4 linked regions of the Mus musculus genome follow. The main gene of each other region encodes a partner of the protein of the gene in region 4 in a complex. Links are inferred from orthologs where the notes say so. Each region holds a gene or a part of one and is shown on either strand. Other genes may lie near its edges. The genes, in order: Prpf6, Lsm6, Usp39 and Ppih.

Region 1 (5,296 bases), on a different chromosome or scaffold from region 4:
AAATGTTTGGAGGCCTGGCTTTTGAAATTTTGAGTGAAACAAAGACTCTATAAAGGATAGTTATGTCACATTATGTATGGATCTATGGAAGTCAAATCTGCACTTCACTGGGACAATGAATGTTGATCACCAGGGCCTGATGAACACTAGCTGTGACCAGCATCAAGGTGAAATCGTCTAGAAAGCATTTCTTCAGGGTCAGCCTGCAGAAGCTGCTGTAGAGGGAGCTACGGCTGCATCTTAAGCTGGCAGCCAGACTTGGTAATGTGTATGATGGCACTGGTTTTGTTTGCATGAAAGCAGCACAACTGAAGAAGTCATGAGAATAAACTCAGTCTTTGTACCATGTGATAGTGTCAGGAGAGGCTATTGTGAACGTGTATCCTCAGTTGCCATAGAGACCCCAAGATATTGAAGATGCCAGGTGAGATGACCACCAAGAAAGAATATGGCAGAGGTGAAGTAGAGTCATCTTGAGGCAACCAGATAAGCTATGTGTGCCACATACGGCAAAACTGAAGAAGTGCAATTGCCCAAGGTTTTTTGAAGCCCAGGAGATCATGAGTGATTCTATATGCTAGATATTGAACTACAGAGCATGGGTATACACTACTGGGTTTTGTTTTACTTAAATCTGATAGTTAACTATGCCCTGGCTCTTCCTTTATAATAGGGTAAAGGTTTCTCCATATTGTCTCAGCTGAAGCCATCTTTGGTTTCTACTCCCTGCCCTGAAAAGTCCCATGGGCAAATATCCAACCCTGTTCTAGAAACTCAGGGTCGAAATGCCCCAGCTAACTGCATATGCTTGGCTCTTGTTAAATTGCTTGTTTGCTTCCCTCTGCAACTGCCAACCATGATGTAGTTTTTTCTGTGTCCTTCATCTTTAAAAACTCCCTGTAATATGCACTTGGGGCTGCTCTATGTTCTTCTCCAGGCAATCACTAGTGAGCTTAATACAGAACAGACTCTCAATTCAAACTCTGATCTCTGGGTTACCCCATAACACTTTGGGGATTAAAAACAAATACATAACTTGTTTTCCATTTTACAAGGCTCACAATTAAAGAGATATTGAACTTTTTAAAGTGTTGGCAAATTTAAAGACTGTGGGATTTTTAAAGTTGTATTTTAATGTGTATTTAAATATGATATGAAAGTGGAACACAGAGAATACTAGGAGTTAAAAAAATTTAACTTGGGGAGGGGGGTGCTGGAGAGATGATGACCCAGTGGCTAAGAGCACTGACTGCTCTTCCAGAGGTCCTGAGTTCAATTCCCATCAGACCTCATTGCAGATGGCTCACAACCATCTGCAATGAGGTCTGATGCCCTTTTCTGGTCTGTCTAAAGAGAGCAATGGTGAATACATGAAATAAATAAATCTTTAAAAAAAAAAATTTAACCAGCCAGGCCAGGCGTTGGTGGCACACGCCTTTAATCCCAGCACTGGGGGGGGGGGGGGGAGAAGAGCAGAGGCAGACGAATTTCTGAGTTCGAGGCCAGCCTGGTCTACAGAGTGAGTTACAGGACAGCCAGGGCTACACAGAGAAACCCTGTCTCCAAAAAAAAAAAATTTTTTTTTTTTTACTGGGAATGTGGGTGAGAAGAAACAGGAAAGTAGTTGGTAGGGGTGGGTTAACCAAGACTAAAGATGTATGGAAAACCACTACTTTGGAAACCATAATTTGTTTTTAAAAGAGTTTGAACACAAGTACTCTGCAGGAATAGATTTGGCGGTTTGAATAAAAATAGTCCCCATAGATCCACAAGGAGTGGCACCATTAGGAGATGTGGCCTTGTTAGAGAACTGTATCACTGTCTATTCCTGTTGTCTGTGGGTCTAGGCAGATGTAGACCTCTCCTGTACCATGTCAGGCCTGCGTGCCATCATGCTTCTAGCCATGATGATAATGGACTGAACCTCAGAAACTCTAAGCCAGCCCCAATGAAACGCTTGCATTTATGAGAGTTGCTGTGACCATGGTCTCTTCACAGCCATAGAAACCCTAGCTAAGAAACATGGGTCATTAACTGAAAATCTCAGACCAGATGTGGCAGCAGAATTTTAGTAGAGCCATTATATCTGATATGAACTCTGGAGTGATGGCACCTAGATTTAGAAGTAGCCTTTTGTAAATATTGTCATCTGAAGTGCATAACTTAGTCCTATGATATACCTGGCAAACCAGGAAGTCTCCTATGGATAAAAACTCCCTCAGACAACTTCTAGATCAGATAAGAGGTTTAGTATTTGGAAATTGACTTGCTAAAGGCACCTTTTGTGTAACAATAAAGAGGCTCTGCAATGGAGTCCAGAGTTCAGTCCTTCAGAGGCTGATCCCCTGCTGTTGAGAAGCCTGAAATTGGGCTGGTGAGATGGCTCAGTGGGTAAGAGCACCCGACTGCTCTTCCGAAGGTCCAGAGTTCAAATCCCAGCAACCACATGGTGGCACACAACCATCCGTAACGAGATCTGACTCCCTCTTCTGGAGTGTCTGAAGACAGCTACAGTGTACTTACATATAATAAATAAATCTTTAAAAAAAAAAAAAAAGAGAAGCCTGAAATTCAGCCTGCAATGTCTCTTTCTTGGACAGATGGTTCCAGAACACAGGATGCCTCCCAATGAATTCACCGGTCAAGGAAGCCCCAAAGGGTTCCTTTAAAACAACACAAACTGTTGCATTGTTCTTGGCTGCCCTCCATAGCAAGATGGTAGACCCTATTGCTGAAGACACAACACACTTTGGTTGCTGGACATAGAAAATTCCAGAAAAACTGGAATTGACCTGAAACTTTTTATTGCTGGCTGGCTTTTGTAGGGCTGAAAGGTGTCATGCAGGCCACTTAGGAAGAAATGTCATTAATGGCCTTATATCCAACAGTTAATCTTGAATGCAATAATACAAGTCTTCCAAGCAAAATGTACCCATGGGTGCAATAGAGGTGGGGTTAACCAAGTGCTTGAGGCCTGCTCCACTGTAATATTTTCATACATGAGTCTATAAATCTGCACAAAAGCCTATGACTTGGGAGGTCCAGGCTATAGGGAGAAACCTACTTCTATTGCTTTACTAAATAGAAATGTCAAATTGGGGGACTGGAGAGATGGCTCAGCAGTTAAAGAGCACTGACTGCTCTCCCGAAGGTCCTGAGTTCAATTCCCAGCAACCACATGGTGGCTCACAACCATCTGTAATGAGATCTGATGCCCTCTTCTGGGGTGTCTGAAGACAGCTACATACTTACATATAATATTATACTTATATAATATTATACATATATATATATATATATTATACATATTATACTTACATATAATAAATAAATAGATAGATAAATAGATAGATTTTTTTTAAATGTCAAATTGCTTTCTACTTATGTTTATATCCATAGATCCAGGCTACTCCTAATCTTTACCAAAGTAGTCTTCTACAGTGAATGAAAAGAAAACCTAACAAATTGTCAAAGTGCTAAGAATAAATTATAGTAAGTGCTCATTCCTAAAATATCTATATCATCCGCCCCTTCATAACTAGAGATAATCATTGATGAGAGGTTAAAAGGTATCTAAGATTCAAGGCCAGCCTGGTCTACAGAGTGAGTTCCAGGACAGCCAGGGGAACACAGCGAAACCCTGTCTTAAAAAAACAAAAAAAAAAGGTATCTAAGAGCAAGGGATGGGTGGGTGCTGTGAAATGCTATCTTCTGAGTATGACATAGCTACTGCATTGGGGAACAAGACAAAGTTAACATCAGTCAATATTCCAACAGGTTGCACTCAGTGGGTTGACTCTGTGGGTACCAAAAAAGAGAAGAGATCATGAAGATGAGATGAGAAAGAGACCTGTTGGGAAGTACTAGGGTTGAGGTGGACCAGAAGTAGATAGGATCAAAATACACTGTACACACGTGAAGTTGTCAAATAATAAACAAAACATATTCTAAAAAAACTTCAGTTTTTTAGAGATTAGAGAGATAGCTTATCAATTAAGAATGCATAACTCCTCTTTCAGAGGACTCTAGCACAGTACCCAGCACTCTCTTTGGGAGAGTCACAAACACCTCTAACCCATGTCCTGGGAGATCCAGTGGCTCTGCCTACCTCAGGCCATGCATTCATGTGCACCCAGGCCGTGCATTCGTGTGCACACAGGCCGTACATTCGTGTGCACCCCGGCCGTGCATTCATGTGCACCCAGGCCGTGCATTTGTGTGCACACAGGCCATGCATTCGTGTGCACACTTACTCATCCACAGAACTTAAAAATAATAAAAGTAAACCTTTAAAAACTATTTTCAAAATCACCTCATCGTAGTTGGTATCATTCAGATCTTCATCATCATCATCAGCCGCCTGATTTTTCTTCATCTGGTCCCCCACAGTTCTCTTCCCTGGTGGGGCATGGCGATCATCCACAGGATCATTTGCATCCCGAGCAGGCCCGATGTCTGATCGGGTGGTGAAGCCAGTGGCACTAGGGGAAGCCCAGAAACATCATTATTTAAGTGACCCCGATCCCATGCTCTCTTTTGATCATCATTTAGTAACATCACTTCTCACACTTCTGGGAACTTCCAGAGATTCTAGAACCAATGAACTGGATGCCTACACATTCCTGGTCTTCTTTGTTTGCTAAACTTGTAACCTATAATGAGTAAGTCAAAGACCGTTTCTCTTCATTCCAAGGTGTCATTTCTTCTTCACATATACACACTATATAGGCCTATAGAAGTCTGAGTCTCACCCGGGCAGTGGTGGCGCACACCTTTATTCCCAGCACTTGGGAGGCAGAGGCAGGCGGATCTCTCAGTTCGCAGCCAGCCTGGTCTACAGAGTGAGTTCCAGGATAGCCAGGGCTACACAGAGAAACCCTGTCTCGAAAAACAAGAAAGAAAGAAAGAAAGAAAGAGAGAGAGAGAGAGAGAGAGAGAGAGAGAGAAAGAGAAAGAAAGAGAAAAAGAAAAGAAAGGAAAGAAAGAAAATGACACCTCATTCCCCAAAAGTGGGGTAAGTAGTTTTTGGCCATTCAATGGGTAATGGGTGTTTGTCATCAAAAGGCATGGAGGGGGTGAAGGGTTGGTTAAAAATTGTTAATGGCCAGGCAGTGGTGGTGCACGCCTTTAATCCCAGCACTCGGGAGGCAGAGGCAGGCGGATTTCTGAGTTCGAGGCCAGCCTGGTCTACAAAGTGAGTTCCAGGACAGCCAGGGCTACACAGAGAAACCCTAACTCGAAAAAAATTTTTAAAAGGCAGATTTCTGAGTTTGAGGCCAGCCTGGTCTACAAAGTG
Region 2 (5,188 bases), on a different chromosome or scaffold from region 4:
CTATCTCAAAACAAAAACAACCAACCTGAAAGGAAATGAAGAATACTGAAGACAAGGCAGAGGCCATCGGAGGTGGACATAGTGTCATATGGTTGGAGCTGCATCTCAGCAACTCATAAGTAGTTCTGGGAAATGATAGCAGATTCTGTTTAAAATAATGACATGCCTACTCTTCTCAAATTGAGATGTGCTAAGCTGCTTAGGCTGTCTCACAGCGAGATGACTGATTCAGCAGAGTTGTGTGGCTATCTCGGTCTCTTCTCTAAAGTTCTTTAAACTTTTCCTTTCCCCACACATTGACATGTGTGCTAAGCACTTTAATACGTTGTCACTTTGTTCTCTATAAACTCTGAGATTTTGTGGTTGTTCTCACTAGGAAGTGAGGAGCTAGCACTTACTGAAGCTTGACTGGAAACCGGTGTTAAGAAATTGCTGACTCAGCAGATAAGAGCACTGGCTGCTCTTGCAGAGGACCCAGATTCAGTTCCCACCACCCACGAGGCATCTCACAACCGTCTCTAACTCCAGTTCCAAGGGATCCGATGCCTCTTCTGACCTCTGGAGGCAGAAGACAATGCACATGCAGGGGAGACACTCGCACATATAAAATGAAAATAAATATTTAGTAACCCACTAAGTTCTAGCACAGGGTATAGTAGTTCTAGTAGGAGGGTTCCACCCCCAGCACTGCCAAAAGGTAAGGGGCTAGAGAAATGGCTCTGCAGTTAGGAGTGCATAATGCTCTCCAAGAGGACCTGGATTCTATTCCTGGTGCTCACATTGGCAGCTCCCAACCTCCTGGAACTCCAGCTCCAACCTCTGGCCTCTGAGGACACCTATACTCGTGTGCATGTACCTACACCCATACACACCATAACAAGTAAAATGAAATCTTTAAAAACATAGAGGGGGAAATCACTTTGTTTTTGTCTTAGTTTTTTGACGTAAATAGCCTGTTGCCAATATTTTGTGTATGTTTGGTTACTTGCTTTTGAGTCAGGGTCGTCCTATGATAGCCAGCTATCTTCAAGCCCTTTTTCTTTCTGCTTGTTCCCTCCCAGTCTCAACTCACAAACAGTGAATAATAGTGATGTTACATTTTGAATGACCCTGTTGTCTAATTCCATATCATGCAGTGCAAGTTTCCTACTCGTCTCTGAATATGCTTTCAGTGTAGCATAGCAGAGAAGAAGCAAACTGGGAGACTGTCTTAAGCTTTCTTTGGCTAGGAAGTTATTGTTCTTGATAGTTGACAGTCCAGTCTGATTCTTTGAAAGTTTATCCCTTCTCATAGAATTCTGTTCGGTTAATGTCTTGTGCTCAGATTACACACACAGAGATTTGAAAAGAAACCTCTGTCTAGAGGATAATGGGGGCAGAGCAGAGAGCCAGGAGCATATTAATGAAGTTAAGATCTTAAATGGGACTATTGACTTAGTTAATTGAATTGAATCTGTGGTGTGTTTTTATTCTCTTTTAAAATATCAGTTTTGCTTAGAGATGAGAATTAGAAGCTTACTAGCTTCATCTTTTGAAAAAAATCTTCTGGTCAGATTTTAGAAATTTATGCCATCTTAACACGAGTAAAAATCCACCCGAGCTGTTTTCCTTGAAAGCTCCCTGGCATGTTTGTAGCCGTTTTTCTCTATTAGTTTTGATTTTAAAAATAGTCCAACTCTGACAAAACAGAATGCAGTGTGTTGTAATGCAATATGTTGCTCTCTGTTCCCAAGCTGCTCCTCGCTGAGAGCCACAGCTCTGAGATGGTCTCTCAGGAGCACCTGCTGTCTATTATCTTAACAGATTGTGGAGACTTCCTCTTCACCCTGGGTCCATTCATCTGCTGCAGTAGATGTTGTGAAAGACTGAGACAAACTGCCAGATCCCTATTTCACCGAGCGAGCGAGTGGCTGAAGTAACAAATGTCACCTCGATGGAGGCTCATTTGTCCCTGCATAGTTGCCATGTCTGTCCCGGGCTCCCATAGAAGGGCATTTTGGTTGGAATATTCTAATGCTTATACTTTTGTGAAGGCTTTCAAAGTTGCTGTGGTGAGCACACGTCCCAGGAGGGAGTGACAGTTGGCTGCCTGTCTTGTGGTGGATGCACAGCTCCTCTCATGCTCTGCCCGCCCAGCCTTCATTCACAGGGGCACCGAGGAAAGGCAGGCGCCTTTTGTGTTTAAGTCTATTGAGTTTTGTTTACAGTGTGAATTTTTATATTATGTGTCTGAAGGCTAATGAATAAAGTGATTGTCAGTTCTAAGATATAGCCTGTAATTTTGAATTCTGTCTTACTTTTCTCCAGGGGTCCTGGCCTGCCTGGATGGCTACATGAATATAGCCCTGGAACAGACAGAGGAGTATGTAAATGGACAGCTGAAGAATAAGTACGGAGATGCGTTCATCCGAGGAAACAATGGTAAGAGCTTCCCTTCCATTGAGTGTTCAGAATAGGCCGTTCCTGCGTGTAATAGGGAGCTGCGGGGCGTCTAAGTGTTAAGGTTCTCTTTACTTTTGCTTGTTTGTTGTACTTATATTTTAGGTCTTTAGTATAAACCAGGTCTGTTTGTGAGTGGGAAGAGGATTTTCCATGGAGGTTGGAACTAGAAATTCTCTTTCTCAGTTGCTGAGGGGTATTGGTATACTAAGCAGGCCCATTAGACCAGGGACCCAGAGGGTGTGCGGCACACAACCACATACTGTACTCTCGCAGTGCTGTCTGGGAGTGGAAGCCATCCTGTGCCACAAAACGCCCTTGACATTTAGCCTGTCCTTTGTCCTTTTTCTGTTCAAGATTTAGGTGCCTTTTGTGGAGCTTTGTACCTTTCCGTGTGTCAGAAGTAGGACAGAAGGCGTGGCTCTCAAGTTCTCTTCTTAAAAGCCTTAAAAGTTAGGTCTCGTTAGGAATTAAATATCCTGACTTTTGTAGACATACCTTGCTTGCAGTTCAGTAGAATTTCTTCTATTTCATGTTATTCTTACTTGCCCTCCTCCTTTTGCTTGGAAATATTATGCTCTTAAGTAGCCCCCATAGCAGGAGCCATTCCTACACTGACATCCACCTAGCCTGTCTGGTTTCCCAGGCAGTGGCTTTCCTCCTATTCTGATGGCTCCTACACTTTACTGCCATCCTCAGTAACAGGTGTCATTATTCCTACTACTTGTAGTTGGGTCTTAAAGAGGATCCTAGTTCACTTGATTGAAGTCTGTGCTGGACTCTTTGAGGAAACATCTACTGTTCACTTTGAACAAGCTTGTTCGTATCTGAAGATGTGTGGGATGGGAGAGGGAGGGTACACCTTAGGTGACAGCCTGACCAGAGCCCCTTTTGTCCTATCTCTGTGCAGCACACATTCCACTGTGCTAAGAATGACTGGCGAAAATACATGTTGGATGACACCAAAGGTTTATACTAATCTCAGAATAAGGACTTTGCTTTCTTAAAAATGTTTTCTCATTTTTTTCCTCCTATGGAAATTATCAGAGTAAACCAATTTACAGAGTAAACTGGGGAGATAAACGAAAATAATGCCATTTCTTTCTTTTACATTTTTTTCATGTGTATGAGTGTTTGTCTGCATGTCTGTAAGTACATCATATGCGTGCCTGGTAGTTGAGGAGGCCACACAAGGTCACTGGACTCCCTGGAACTAGATTTACAGTTGGTTGTGAACTGCTTTGTAGGAATTGGGGACCCAGCCCTGTTGCTCCGTAACATCTGCAAGTTACATCTGCTCTTAAGTGATGGGCGTCGTCTCTCCAGACACATGTGCTAGTCATTCTGAATGTGACACCTAACCTAACAGATCTGGCTGATTCGCCCTTTTCAAAACTTGTGATATAGCTATTTACAAATCATTCTTACATTTTAGGCACTTTCACTTTTCTAATTCCCAGTCATAATTTGTAAAGTCAGTAACATGCATAGATAAGACTAGTTATAATCAGGTAAGATGTCCAAGCCCGGTCTAGACGCAAAGCTTGTTTTATAGAGACCTTCATTGCATGGTAGAAACAGTCTTTTAAAGTGTTCGAGGTGTAGGCCAGGACCCATGAATGCCTTTAAAACTGAACCGATGCTGTGCCCCTCGAGTGACTGCTCGTTCTCTTGTCTTTCCAGTGCTGTACATAAGTACACAGAAGAGGCGGATGTGAAGACACCAGGAGGCAGTGCTCTTCAGAGATGGATAGATGAAGTGGTTTTGGTTCTCTTACCATCTTAGTTGGCCTGTTTTCATGGTGGCTGGTGGGGGTTTGTTTGTTTGTTTGTTTAATTGACATTGGAATAAGATAGAGGTATTGCATTACAGATCGACTCTTAAGTTTTTCACATTTATGTCTCAGTCTTTATCATTTCTGCCTGTACAGAATGCTAAAACTAAAACAGTTTGTTTCTCCAGGATTATTTTACCTAAGATTCCTGCCCTGTCATTCCATTGGTTGATTACGTATTCAGCTGACTAAGTGGTACATCCCGGAACCTGTGATCAAGCATTCTGGAGGCATCCTTTGTCTCTTTCTCTACTCACCATCCGTACCATTTAAAGCAGGTAGATAGAAAGTCATATGGTTTCAGCCTTGGGCTATAAAGGGACAAGAGGTCAGAAAATCAGCTGTTTATTTAGTCACCTAGTTAGTGGTGGTATCTCCACAAAGGAGTGCAACTGTAGAGTCAGGAATTGGAAAGGTCAGCCACGTGAGGTGAGACACTGCCTGGAAGCCTCCTGTGCAGTTAGACTCTTCATGTTAACTTGCTCCCTGTTGAGAGTGTTGGTGCAATGGCTGGTTACGCCAGCCAGGGGAGGAGCTCTACTGTTCCTGAGAAACTGGCTGTGGCTGAGGTGGTGCAAGCCCAGAGTGCTTAGACTCAGTTTCCAGGCACTGAGCTTCGGCTGCGAAAGTTTCTCCTGCTTTTTGCTTTAGCAAGTGGCCTTGGGGAAAGGGTTGTATTCTTGGCCTTCAGGTCACGTGACTCCCGCTGAGCGGGCTTGTGCTGTCTGTGGACTGTGTGTGGGTGCTTTGGTTGCATGGACGCTAGGGCTTTCCTTACCCTCCTTCAATCTAAACAGATCCCTGTCTCGGGAGGTCGGACAGTTTTAGAGCAATTGCCCGGCTGGAGGAAGTGGAGGCAGATGGACAGCTAAGGAGGGAGGGTGTGCTTTCTGGAGAGGTGTATATATGGCATT
Region 3 (5,852 bases), on a different chromosome or scaffold from region 4:
CTCCATTCGTATGCTGGGTACAGAACCGCCGTAACCGCCACAACTGCCGCGGAATTAGGGCCTTCGGCTGCGGACCATGACTTCCGGCCGCCGACCTCGGCTTCCGGCTCCGATGCCCTTTTTCCGGTTGCGTAGGGCCAGGCGCAGCGGAGCAGAGATGCTTTCGAAATTTGAGAACCTTCATCTGTGAGCGCCCGTAGAGCTGGAGGTCCTCTTACTTTGTGGTATCACCTGAACGAAAGAAGGAGTATATATAGCTAATACCAGGAAATTATTTTTAAAAATTCGAGTCATCCACGAATACTGAAAATGCATTCTATTAGTCTAGAGATGTTGACTTTCTTTTCCTAGCCCTTTAGTATAATAAACTTCACTATGAGATCATATGCGTGTGTCTATGTGTTGTGTGTATCTACTTTGCTCCTGTCTTTAAAGCTAGATTCTGCTCATGAGAAATATTTTGTCATCTCCATCACCTCTGCTCCATCTTCTTTTAGACCCCCTCCTTGCCTCCTATAGTTCTCTCCCCTTCTCTCCCCTCTTACACACACACACACACACACACACACACACACACACACATACACACTTAAAATCTAGGTCCTACATATGGGAAAAACATGCAATATTGGTGATTACTCTTTCTAAATTATACTGAATTCGCTTAACATCTTTAGGTTCACCATTTCCCTACAAATGACATTTCTTTATGGCAGAATTAAAGAAGACATGTTAATATATGCCACTTGGTTGACTCTTTAATCTAAATGTGCCTAGGTTTCCTTAATTTTGTTTTTGTAGTGTGTGTGTATAGGCAAGAGGACGACACTGGGTGCTCTTGTCTGTATTCTCTACCTGTTCCTTTGAGATAGGGCCTCTCACTTAACCTGTAATTCAGCTGACAGCCACCAAGCCCTAGTGGTCCTCCTGTCTCCATTTCCCACATGGCTAGGACTATAGGCATGAGCCCACTGTCAGCTTTTTCCACGGGTGCTGGAGTTTTGGACTCATGCTTGGACAGTAAGCTTTCTCACCAATTGAGCCAATCTCCTCCGTTTGTTTGCTTATTAGTGGACATACTAAAAACATCTGTCTCTGATAGGCAATGAGGCAGACAAGTGCTCACGTAGGTAAGTTTTCCCCACCCATACCCAGTCCCTATTTCAGCCACATTGGAGCTGCACTGCTGGTGTCCAGACCACTTGCTTAACTGACCATGAGAGGAACCAAGGCTTTTGAGGGTCTAATAGTGCATAGCCTTCTCTTGTTTCTTTCCTTCTGGCATGTAGCCTAGGATAGTCTTGAATTAACTATGTAGCTCAGTTGGCCTTAAACTTTGGGATTTGTTTTGCCTGATCCTGAGAGTATAGCTTTCCAAGTTTTCAGTTTAAAATGTAAACATCAGAAACTTATTAGAGCAGTGACAGAATCAAGTGCATCTGCTTGATGGAATTGTTATATTGAAAGTAAAGGAACAGACTGCCTTACCCTAGACGTGAATGAGACCTGGTCAGAAAGAGGAAACACCGACTCATACTTGAACATAAAATTCTAGGAAATGTAGTCACTATTGTGGTTTGGGTGGGATTCCACGTGGGCACAGGACATTTCTGGGGTGAGACAAGTTTCTTCTCTTGAATCTGTAAGTGTTCATACATCGCAATTTAGCAAATTAGACACATCAAACGTGTACTATCTTGTATATCAATTATACTTCGATGGAACTGTTCAAATAGGCAGGGACTAAGGCATGACTCAGTGGTAAGGCTGAATTTGAAGTTTTATTAGCTAAACAATAAATGCGCCTTAGCAGAGTATTTGCAAACTCATTTCAAGAGCCCTTTAAATATGATACTAATTGAAGTTCCCAGGTACAAGCCTGAATGAAGGAGTTAATTTGGGAATACTGACTCCTTTTCCTGTGTAGGTCATCAGTCCCTGATCAGGGGACATCTCTGGATCGTCGTTTCGAGACACAAATTGTCCTGAAGCTATCTCGGGTGGAGTGCTAGCTTCCTTTTCCCTAAAATGAAAGTAGCCTGTGAAAGGTTCCTATTTAAGCCGTGAAGAGATGTTGGACAAGGACACAATATGTTCGAAACTATCTCGGTTGGGCCAGCAGCGCTTATAACGTTTTATAAGCCTGTATTGTCCCTCACAGCGACTCGTAGCGCGCTGCGTTTCTATGAGGCCATCTCGACTTCTGATTGGCTGCTTGCTGCCCGTGCTCGGCGCCGGCGCGGAAGCTCCTAACTGGTGGTGGCGATGTCTAGCCGGTCCAAGCGGCAGTCCCATGGTTCCACCCGCGGGAAGCGTGAGTCCGAGTCTCGTGGCAGCTCGGGTCGCATCAAGAAGGAGCGAGACCGTGAGAAGGAGCCCGAGGCGGCGAGCTCCCGGGGTAGCCCGGTCCGCGTGAAGCGGGAGGCCGAGCCGGCTGCGCGAGAGGTCCCGGCGCCCGCGCTCCCGGTCGTGCGGGTGAAGCGTGAGCGCGAGGCCGATGAAGACTCGGAGCCCGAGCGGGAGGTGCGAGGTGCGCGGGGCCGGGCCGGGCGCGTCCTCTTCCTTCGCCTGCTTTCTTCTTTCTCCTCCTATATTTTTAAAGACGGGTCTCAGGAACTTGAAGTTGTAACCAGAGATGGCCTTAGACTCTTGCTTCCCCTTCTTGAAGTCTGAGATGCCCAGTTTTTGTCTGCTTTTTACTTTTCCTTTCTTCTGCCTCCCTGACCAGGCTTGAATCCAGCAGGCTGGATTGCCTGTCATAATACATCACAGCATCTCCCTATTCACGTATAGCCTACGTGGGTCAGGTGCTCTACTGACGACTGTACAGATGGACCCTTCTCCGTTCCCCCCCACCCCCCACAAATTCCTAAGAGTCAGAGTCATGTTGTAATTTTTGGAATAAGACCATTAGTTGAGTCCCAGTGCACTCAACTCAAGTATTGACTTTGTACTAGTTGAATAGTTTGGAGACACTAATGCTTCTCCTGGGTTTTGCATGGGGGTTGTTCCATGTTGTCTTGTAAAGGATGCTGATGTAATGACCAGCCTTGGGAGACAGATAGTATTATTCCATAGAGCAATAGGTAGGGAGTAAGGTCACAAGAAGATATAATCTTCTTTAAGGGCAGGGATCTTCTGTAAGGCAACCCACTATGAGCACTGGTTCTTTTTCTATTCTATTATGGGACTTAACTCTAGGATCTGGCAAAGATGTCATATAATAGGGTACTGTTATTGCTGTAGTAGACTCTTTGTTTTAGTCTGTGATCATGTGGCTTCTGTCAGCATCCATGAAGCTGTGTCAAGCTAACACATTAGGGTTAACTTTAGTTAGAGTTAACACATTAGGATTAACTCTCAGAACCAATACAGTTCTTGTACTAATAGTAGATTTAAGGATATTCAGCTTATCTTAGTACTTGTGATATATTTCATGATACTTTTCCTGCCCATTTGATATTTATTTATTTATTTATTTGCTTATTTAGGCAGGCTCTTACTAAGTAGCCCTGGCTGTCTTGGAACTTTGTCGGTAGGCCTCAAACTCAGAGATTTCACCTAGCCTACTCACTCAAGGGCTAGGATTAATGTACACCACCAATGCCTGGCATTTATTTATGTGTATGCATGTACCATGGTGTATGTGTGGAAGTCAGTGGGCAACTTGTGGGAGTCCGTTTTCTCTCCTAGCCTGTGTGTCACAGGGATTGAACTCAGATAGTTGGGTTGCTGGTAAGCACCTTTACTAAGCCATCTCACTTGCCTGGATTCCTTTATGTAATATATAAATTAATCTTTCATTGGTTATATATGTAATAGACCTACTCTTAGTTTGCAACTTATTTCATTAGTGGCCTTTTTTTGAATGTTGTCACTAAAGGAAATGGAAAAGCTCATCTTTTTGAGATGTGTGTGTGTGTGGTCCCTGGCTGTCCTAGAACCTAACCTAACTGATCAAACTCTCCCAATCTTAGTGATCAAATGTTCCCATTTCGGTGATTTTGTTTTGTTTTGTGTTTGCTTGTTTTGTGCCTGTGATTTGAGGAGAGCCTCCAGTCCTCCATTTATGATGCTGGAGCAGATCTTGGCTGTGCTAGTTAAGTGTTCTACCACTGAGCAGATCTTGCCTGTGCTAGTTAAGTGTTCTACCACTGAGCAGATCTTGGCTGTGCTAGTTAAGTGTTCTACCACTGAGCAGATCTTGGCTGTGCTAGTTAAGTGTTCTACCACTGAGCAGATCTTGGCTGTGCTAGTTAAGTGTTCTACCACTGAGCAGATCTTGCCTGTGCTAGTTAAGTGTTCTACCACTGAGCAGATCTTGCCTGTGCTAGTTAAGTGTTCTACCACTGAGCAGATCTTGCCTGTGCTAGTTAAGTGTTCTACCACTGAGTTACTTTCCAGCACAAGTTTCCCATTTAACAGCCTGTATGGATTTCTTCTCAGCAAAGAATGGCCGAGTGGATTCTGAAGACCGGAGGAGTCGTCACTGCCCGTACTTGGATACCATTAATAGGTCAGTAATATAGAAAGGCTGAGGGCAAGACTTGGTGATGTATCTCAGTAGTAGAGCAGTTGCCTGGCATGTCATAAGCCCAAGGTTTAATCACCAATACTATGCAAACAAACAAAATCAGTGGATTTTTAAAAATTTACTTTTATTTTATGTATGTTGGTATTTTGCCTGCATTTATGTCTGTGTGAGAGTGTCAGATCCCCTGGAGCTGCATGGATGTCTGTGGGAGTACCGCATCCCCTGGAACTGGAGTTACGGATAGTTGTGAACTCTCACGTGGGTGCTAGGAATTGAACAACTGGAAGAGCAGCCAGTGCTCTTAACTGCTAAGCCATCTCTCCAGCCCCATCAGAAGATTTTGAGATGCAGAATACAGTAGAAAATTCTCTAAACAGAGCATTGAAGCATTCTAACTCTCCTCCTTTTATGCCTGTCTGCCTAGAAAATTGTGCTTCTCACCATGCTCAGCCATGTTGTCCCTTTATAGTGGCAGAGTGCGCTTTTTGTTTTGTTTTGTTTTTTGAGATGTGTGTGTGTGTGTGGTCCCTGGCTGTCCTAGAACCTAACCAGGTTGTTGTCCTTGAACTCAGGGATTTGCCTGCCTCTGCCTCCTGAGCGCTGGGATTAAAAGCCTGCACCACCTTGCCTTTGAAGGTACTTTAATATCAGCCTCAGCACACAGGTTAAAGGAAAGAGCTTACAAGAAAGATACAGATTTTAAAAACTGGTTGAGTGTGTATTACTTTTAGCTTCAGAAGATATCATGTATATTTAAGAGGCATTTAACTAAATTTTTAAATTATTTTGGTGACTTAAAAAAAGTCAATACTGAGTTGTATATTTTAAAATAAATTTTATTAGTTTAAAAAAAAGAAAGTAAGATACACTAAAGAGCATGGTCATGGGGTTCTCAGAGGAGAATTCCTAGACTTTTGTTGTTATTTATGTGTATGTGTGTCCCTGCACAAGGTCATGTGCATGAGGGGCCTGTGGAGGCCATAAGAGGCCCCAACTCCCTTTGAAGTGAACTTGTGGGTGGCTGTGTGGGTGCTGCAAACTGAACTCTACCTGTCTGCAAGTGCTCTGAACCATTGAGCCGTCTCTTCCAGTCCCCAAAGTTTTGATTTGTTTCCTTGTTTTTGTATGGCAGAGACAGTCCTCTTTTCTTGTATATTCTCTGGTTTTTCAGTTGTCCTCAACCTATCTTCTAGAATGATGCTCTCCAATAGAATTCTCCACAACAGAGAATTGGGTTTTAAAATGTTGTTTGTTTTTTGAAACAAGGTTCTGATATATGGCCCAGGCAAACATTGAAATCTTAACTCTCCAACCTAAG
Region 4 (5,781 bases):
CAAATATGCTTGGCTGTGTGGGCTTCCAATGAAGCAGGTGCTACACTAAAGCAATCTGATTCCCCCTCTTCCAGCAGCTATCAAGTGCCAATAGCTCCTTGAAGTATTTGTATCCTATTATACTTTTTTTTTCAAGGCCAGATTTCTGTGTATAGCCCTGGCTGTCCTGGAACTTGCTCTTGTGGATCAACTCAGAGATCTGCCTGTCTCTGCCCCCAGAGTTCTGGTATTATAGACATGTCCCACTACTGACTGGCAATAAAACATTCATTTAAATACATTTTTGAGGGCGAATGTTCATGTAGAAGTGAGGTTTGGCATTGAATACCTTTCTCAAATTCTGTAGTTTTAGTATTAATATTCATTTCTGTAAATGCACATGTGTGGATATGTACATCTGTACAGGCACTAAGGCCAGAAAAGGACACTGAATGGCTTCCTCTGTCATCTACCACCTATTATGTTGAAGCAGAGTCTCTCCCTCAACCTGGGCTTCCAGTTTTCTCCAAGAGGTTGGAAGCCAGTAAGCCCCAGTGAACATCCACCCTCCTCGAAGCTGGGCATGCAGGCATGTGGAGGGTACCCAGTTTGACACATGGGTGTTGGAACACTCTAGTCCTCCTGAGCCATCTCTCCAGCCCCAGTTCCAAAAGAATATAGCAATCCATGTATGTAATTTCAGCACTTGGGAGGCTGAGATAGGAAGTTGGAAGAGTTCAAAGCCAACCCATGATACACAGCAAGACTGTCTTAAAATTAAAAAAAAAAGTGAAAAAATGTTTCAAAAAAGACCTTAAGCTGGGCAGTGGTGGTGCATGCCTTTAATCCCAGCACTTGGGAGGCAGAGGTAGGCAGATTTCTGAGTTCGAGGACAGCCTGGTCTACAGAGTGAGTTCCAGGACAGCCAGGGCAATACAGAGAAACCCTGTCTCAAAAAACCAAAAGCAAAAACAAAACAAAACAAAAACCAAAAAACCTTAAAGGGTGTAACAACCAGGGCTGGAGAGATGGCTCAGTGGGTAAGAGCACTGACTGCTCTTCCGAAGGTCCTGAGATCAAATCCCAGCAACCACGCCCTCTTCTGGGGTGTCTGAAGACAAGTATAGTGTACTTACATATAAGTATCTTTGGGCCGGAGCAAGCATGAGAGAAGGAAAAGAGGGGGGGGGGGTAGCAACTGAATGCCCTCCAAAACAGAGGCAGAAGGGTACTTGGTAAAAGTGGTATAAGAGAAGCCAGCCTTTACTTCCTGGTCTTTGCTACCAGCAGTGGCAAACAGCATTTTAAATAGGCAAAGCCCCATACGATTTACTAGCCTAGAGACCCATCCCATGGGCAAACAACAATCCCTGAGACTGTTGTGCTTGCAGACAGGAACCTCGCATGGCTGTCCTGAGAGACTCCACCCAGGAGCTGACTCAGGGATGCAGAGACCACAGCCAAACATCCGATGGAGCTTGAGGACTCCTGAGGGCCTCCGAGGGGATTGGAACTCCACAGGAAAACCAAGAGTCAACTATGACCCTTGGGGCTCTCAGAGACTGAACCACCAACCAAAGAGCATAGACAGGCGGGACCTAGCCCCCTCCCACACACACACGGTCTTTCATGTGGGTCCCGAACAACTGGAGTAGGGGCTATCCCAAAAGCTGTTGCCCTGCTGTGGAATTCGTTTCTTCTGCTTGTCTGGACTCAGTGGGAGAGGATGAGGCCAGCCCTGCAGAGACTTGATGTGCTAAGGTGGAGGGAAAACCAGAGGGGGTCTCTACCCTCTCAGAGGAGAAGAGAAGGAGGGGGTGGGGAAACCGGGAGAGGCGGCAGCACTGGGGATGTAAATGTGAATTAAAAAATAAAAAATTTTACAATCATAAGAAAATAAATAAAATTACATTTCCAGCACCCGACTGAGCCAGGCTACAGTAACAAACCATTTTAAAATATGGAAGGTGACTCAGGGATCCTCGGCTCATGAGCTGTGACAGGGGACACCAAGTGTGACTGCTCAGGACATGCTGTCTGCAGAAGATTCATTTCTATTGCACTAATACAGTCATGCAAGTGGGGAGCCCACAGACTTTGACAAAGATGCCTGCGTTTCCTCCCCTCAGCTCCGACCAGCTCAGCCAAACAGTACCATTCCCAACAACCTCAGCGCGCGCCACACTTCCGGGGCGGGGCGCAATCGCGGTCCGTTTCCACTGCGTCTGCGCTCCGGATGAAGTTCGCGGGACCTGCCACCGGAAGCCGGGTTTCTACTTCCGGGTCAAAGCCATGGCGGTGGCAAATTCAAGTCCAGTCAATCCAGTGGTCTTCTTCGATGTCAGCATTGGCGGCCAGGTGAGGTGCGGGCGACCTAGCGGCCCGTGCGGGCTGGTTGGCCTCGGGTAAGGGAGGCAGCCCCTTATAGCCCTCCCGAGACCGGCTGGGCCAGGCGGCGGAGGGAGGTGGGAGCTTTCGAGCTTCGTGGACAGCGGTCGTGAGCTGAGTGTTGCGTCTCCCGTTTCTTCTGCAGGAAGTTGGTCGCATGAAAATCGAGCTCTTTGCAGACGTGGTGCCTAAGACGGCAGAGAACTTTAGGTAAGGATATGCTCCAAGTGAACCAGAGCTGAGCCCGAAGCCGGCCTCCAGTCGGTCTTTGCCATGTCTGCCTCTGTCCATCTATTCATTGCCTTGCAGCTCTGTGGTCTGGGTATTTCACTGGCCAAACAGCTACCGGCTGTGACTGATCCCATATCAACTTCTATCACTAGTCTACCTGCCCTGACATCCGCCCGATCAGTTAGTTGGCGGACATACTGGCCCCAGTGTTTGAACTCTCCTCTCCAGAGATTAGAGGTGCTTCAAGCAGTGATCGTACGAAGGCTAAATCGTTTGCTCTCTCTTTCCCTTTAGGCAATTCTGCACCGGAGAGTTCAGGTCAGTCTCAGATGTGTTTGATTTCTCTGCCTACTCCTGAAGGGGTGCCCTGGATGTTTGGTGAGGGTATTGGAGAACCATGAACAGGTCTTAAGTAATGGAAGATGATATGCAGAGAGAGGGTGACACCTTGAATGGGTTCTTTCTCTCTCTTTTTCCCCCTCCAGATCTTAGTGAGAGCCCTTTTAGCCTCTGGTGTAGCCTAAATGGGAAAGGCCCACCATTGTGTTTCCCCATTCCAAGTCTCTTCCTTCTTTGTTTACAGAAAAGATGGCGTTCCGATAGGATACAAAGGAAGCACCTTCCACAGGTAAGGGAGGTTTTTGGAAAACTGGAAATGCAGTCATTGCTTGGTATCTGTACAGGCAGTCCTGCACACCTGAGTTCAAACTCTGTGAGGCTTACGGCTGTTGTTTTAAATGGCATGTTCGCGGCTGAGGCTGTAGCTCGGTGGTAGAGAATTGGCCCAGCATTCATAAGGCCCTGGATTTGGTACTGAACACCATGAAGCCTATGCACAGCGCCTTAAGTCATCCCTGACTTGGTGGAATGCTGTATTGCAGAAACGATGCCAAGGAAAGCATGCTGTACCCTTTCAGTACCTGTTCAGTACAGGTGCGTGGCCACGTGCTCCCAGAGGTCTAAGCTCAGATCCTTAGGCTGCCACAGCAAGCACTTCACCCACTGACCCATCTCCCTGGCGCCAGTCAGGACTTCAGCAGAGGCTTTGCTAGTTACCGTTGCTAGGCAGTCATCTGTAGGAGCCTGGCTTTCATGATATATTTACTTATTTTTTGTTAGAGTTTGACAGAAGTTGCTCTATTCTAATCCTGAAAATGTCCATGTCTCCCACATAAGGGCTTTAAAGCTACAGTCTGTAACCCTCCCTAGCATTCTTGTGAAGTAGTATGTGTTTTCCGAGTTCTTCAAGGAAGGCTAAGCAAAGCGAAGGGCCATAGCTGGTGTACTAGCTAACACCATCAAGTCTCTGTGTGTGCAGTAGTCCATTCACCTAGATTTGCTGTTGTTCTTTTCCCCCAAATTGCAATAAGCCCTGGACATGATTTTTTCCTTTGGTGACTGTTGGTGATTCTAGCCTGGTTTCAGCCCCTTCCTGATGTTCAGGTGCGAACTCACGCATCTAAGATCAACTGAGTTAAGACTGTACTTGCTCGCCCTTTTCTAAGCTTCAGTGATTAATCCACTGAATCTTTTCTCAGGATTTTTTTTTTAACTGTTTCAGGGTCATAAAGGATTTCATGATTCAGGGTGGAGATTTTGTTAATGTAAGTACTGCTTCTTTTCTTTGTTATTTTTTTCTGGCAGGGCCCTAGTCTTGAGACTTAAGAGCAATAGCTAAGTTAAGTGGAGAGGGCATGGGATGTACTGTAGAGTTGCTGGCTACCACTGACTGTGTCCTTAGAACACATAACAATACTCTACTGAACCATAAACTTCCACTTTCCAAACCCTAGCTGTTTGTAACTAGAAACTGGGCTTTGCTGGCATACCTATAGGTGATCTGAGACGGTCCACATTCATTGTTCACAGAAAACTTTGAAATTGACTGCAATTTTTCCCTCAAAAGGAAGGGAGCTGACTGCTTTTGTCTCCCATTTTTCCTTCCACATCTGCACATCTTCTGTCACTGTCTAAAAACTCTAGTTTTTTGTTGGATTGCTCTGGGGGGGGTTAGGGGCCGGTCTTTCTTTCTCTTTTCCTTTTGAAAGCTAAGGTATTAATCACAAGCTGGTTAGCAAGCAAGGGATCAGATCAGGAGAGACAGGAAGTTTAAAGGGTGTTCGCTTGCTTGCTGAGGTAGCCCAGCAGATCCATTCTTCACAAAAAGACCATGACTGTTGGTGTCTCCATCCTTCCTTGGAGTGTGTCCAATAAGCTAGAATATCTCTTTCTTAAACCAGCTCTTTCCTTACCCATCCACCTCTGTGCATGCTGTCTCCTTGCTGTTAGCATTGTTTATGTGGGTGTGTTACTAAGTCCTTTTGTCTGAGAGATGGTCTTACTCCATCAGTTGTAAATTTAGTTAGATTTTTGTGAGTCTTTAGAGGTCTTCCTCCTACACAGGGTTGCAATGGCAGGCTTTAGGCTGAATCCTGCTTCCACTTAGGCTGCATTTTAACTATGTGATACTACTGGGAAATCTGGGGGACTGGAGAGATCGCTCAGCAGTTACACTGTTGACTCTTCAGAAGACCCAGGTTTGATTCCCAGCATCTACATAGCCATCTGTAACTCCAGCTCCATGAATCTGAAAAACAAATATGGGAGGGTTTGGGGGCAGAAAGCGAAGGGGCAGTGATGTGATTATAATCCCCAAAAACCTAAAATAAAATTTTAAATAATAATAAATGAATTTTAAAAAGGGAAAAAAGAGCTGGGCTTAAAGTGCAACAGTGTTTCTCCACACATCCAGTGTGTGTGTGTGTGTGTGTGTGGTGTGTGCGTGCACACATGTGCTCAAGAGCATGCAGGTGTACAAGCCCATGGATGTTGGGGCCAGAGGCAGACATGTGGTGTGCTCTGTCAGTCACTACCTTACTACCTGGAGACAAGGTTTCACTAGATGAGAAGCTGCTTGGTTCAGCTAGGGCAGCTGGCTGGCTAGCTCCCCTTAGCACTGCACCATTCTCCCTGGCCTTCCAGGGTGTGCAGCACTCCCGGCCTCTGATATGTCTCTTTTCTACTCAGGGCGATGGCACTGGAGTCGCCAGTATTTACCGGGGTCCATTTGCGGATGAAAATTTTAAACTTAGACACTCTGCTCCAGGCCTGCTTTCCATGGTAAGTGAGGTTCGGTTAAGATTTGGGGTTAGATCAATGGCTGGTTTCTGGTGCTTTGTTGAG

The links.
Region 1: Ppih (region 4) and Prpf6 share a complex: the UniProt entries of both Homo sapiens proteins name them as parts of the U4/U6-U5 tri-snRNP complex. The link is inferred for Mus musculus from reciprocal best matches to the Homo sapiens genes PPIH and PRPF6.
Region 2: Ppih (region 4) and Lsm6 share a complex: the UniProt entries of both Homo sapiens proteins name them as parts of the U4/U6-U5 tri-snRNP complex. The link is inferred for Mus musculus from reciprocal best matches to the Homo sapiens genes PPIH and LSM6.
Region 3: Ppih (region 4) and Usp39 share a complex: the UniProt entries of both Homo sapiens proteins name them as parts of the U4/U6-U5 tri-snRNP complex. The link is inferred for Mus musculus from reciprocal best matches to the Homo sapiens genes PPIH and USP39.

Annotation. Positions count from the first base shown.
Region 1 is NC_000068.7:181,607,305-181,612,600, reverse strand, and holds part of Prpf6 (pre-mRNA-processing factor 6), read right to left. Parts: intron 4,482-5,296; coding exon 4,313-4,481; intron 1-4,312. UniProt on the Homo sapiens protein: Involved in pre-mRNA splicing as component of the U4/U6-U5 tri-snRNP complex, one of the building blocks of the spliceosome.
Region 2 is NC_000074.6:78,807,180-78,812,367, reverse strand, and holds part of Lsm6 (U6 snRNA-associated Sm-like protein LSm6), read left to right. Parts: intron 1-2,307; coding exon 2,308-2,421; intron 2,422-4,122; coding exon 4,123-4,157; 3' UTR 4,158-5,188. UniProt on the Homo sapiens protein: Plays a role in pre-mRNA splicing as component of the U4/U6-U5 tri-snRNP complex that is involved in spliceosome assembly, and as component of the precatalytic spliceosome (spliceosome B complex).
Region 3 is NC_000072.6:72,341,563-72,347,414, reverse strand, and holds the start of Usp39 (U4/U6.U5 tri-snRNP-associated protein 2), read left to right. Parts: upstream 1-2,239; 5' UTR 2,240-2,265; coding exon 2,266-2,530; intron 2,531-4,446; coding exon 4,447-4,516; intron 4,517-5,852. Other genes in the region: 0610030E20Rik (UPF0561 protein C2orf68 homolog), read right to left, coding at 1-184.
Region 4 is NC_000070.6:119,316,965-119,322,745, reverse strand, and holds the start of Ppih (peptidyl-prolyl cis-trans isomerase H), read left to right. Parts: upstream 1-2,222; 5' UTR 2,223-2,271; coding exon 2,272-2,337; intron 2,338-2,512; coding exon 2,513-2,577; intron 2,578-2,892; coding exon 2,893-2,916; intron 2,917-3,181; coding exon 3,182-3,226; intron 3,227-4,159; coding exon 4,160-4,202; intron 4,203-5,625; coding exon 5,626-5,718; intron 5,719-5,781. UniProt on the Homo sapiens protein: PPIase that catalyzes the cis-trans isomerization of proline imidic peptide bonds in oligopeptides and may therefore assist protein folding. Participates in pre-mRNA splicing.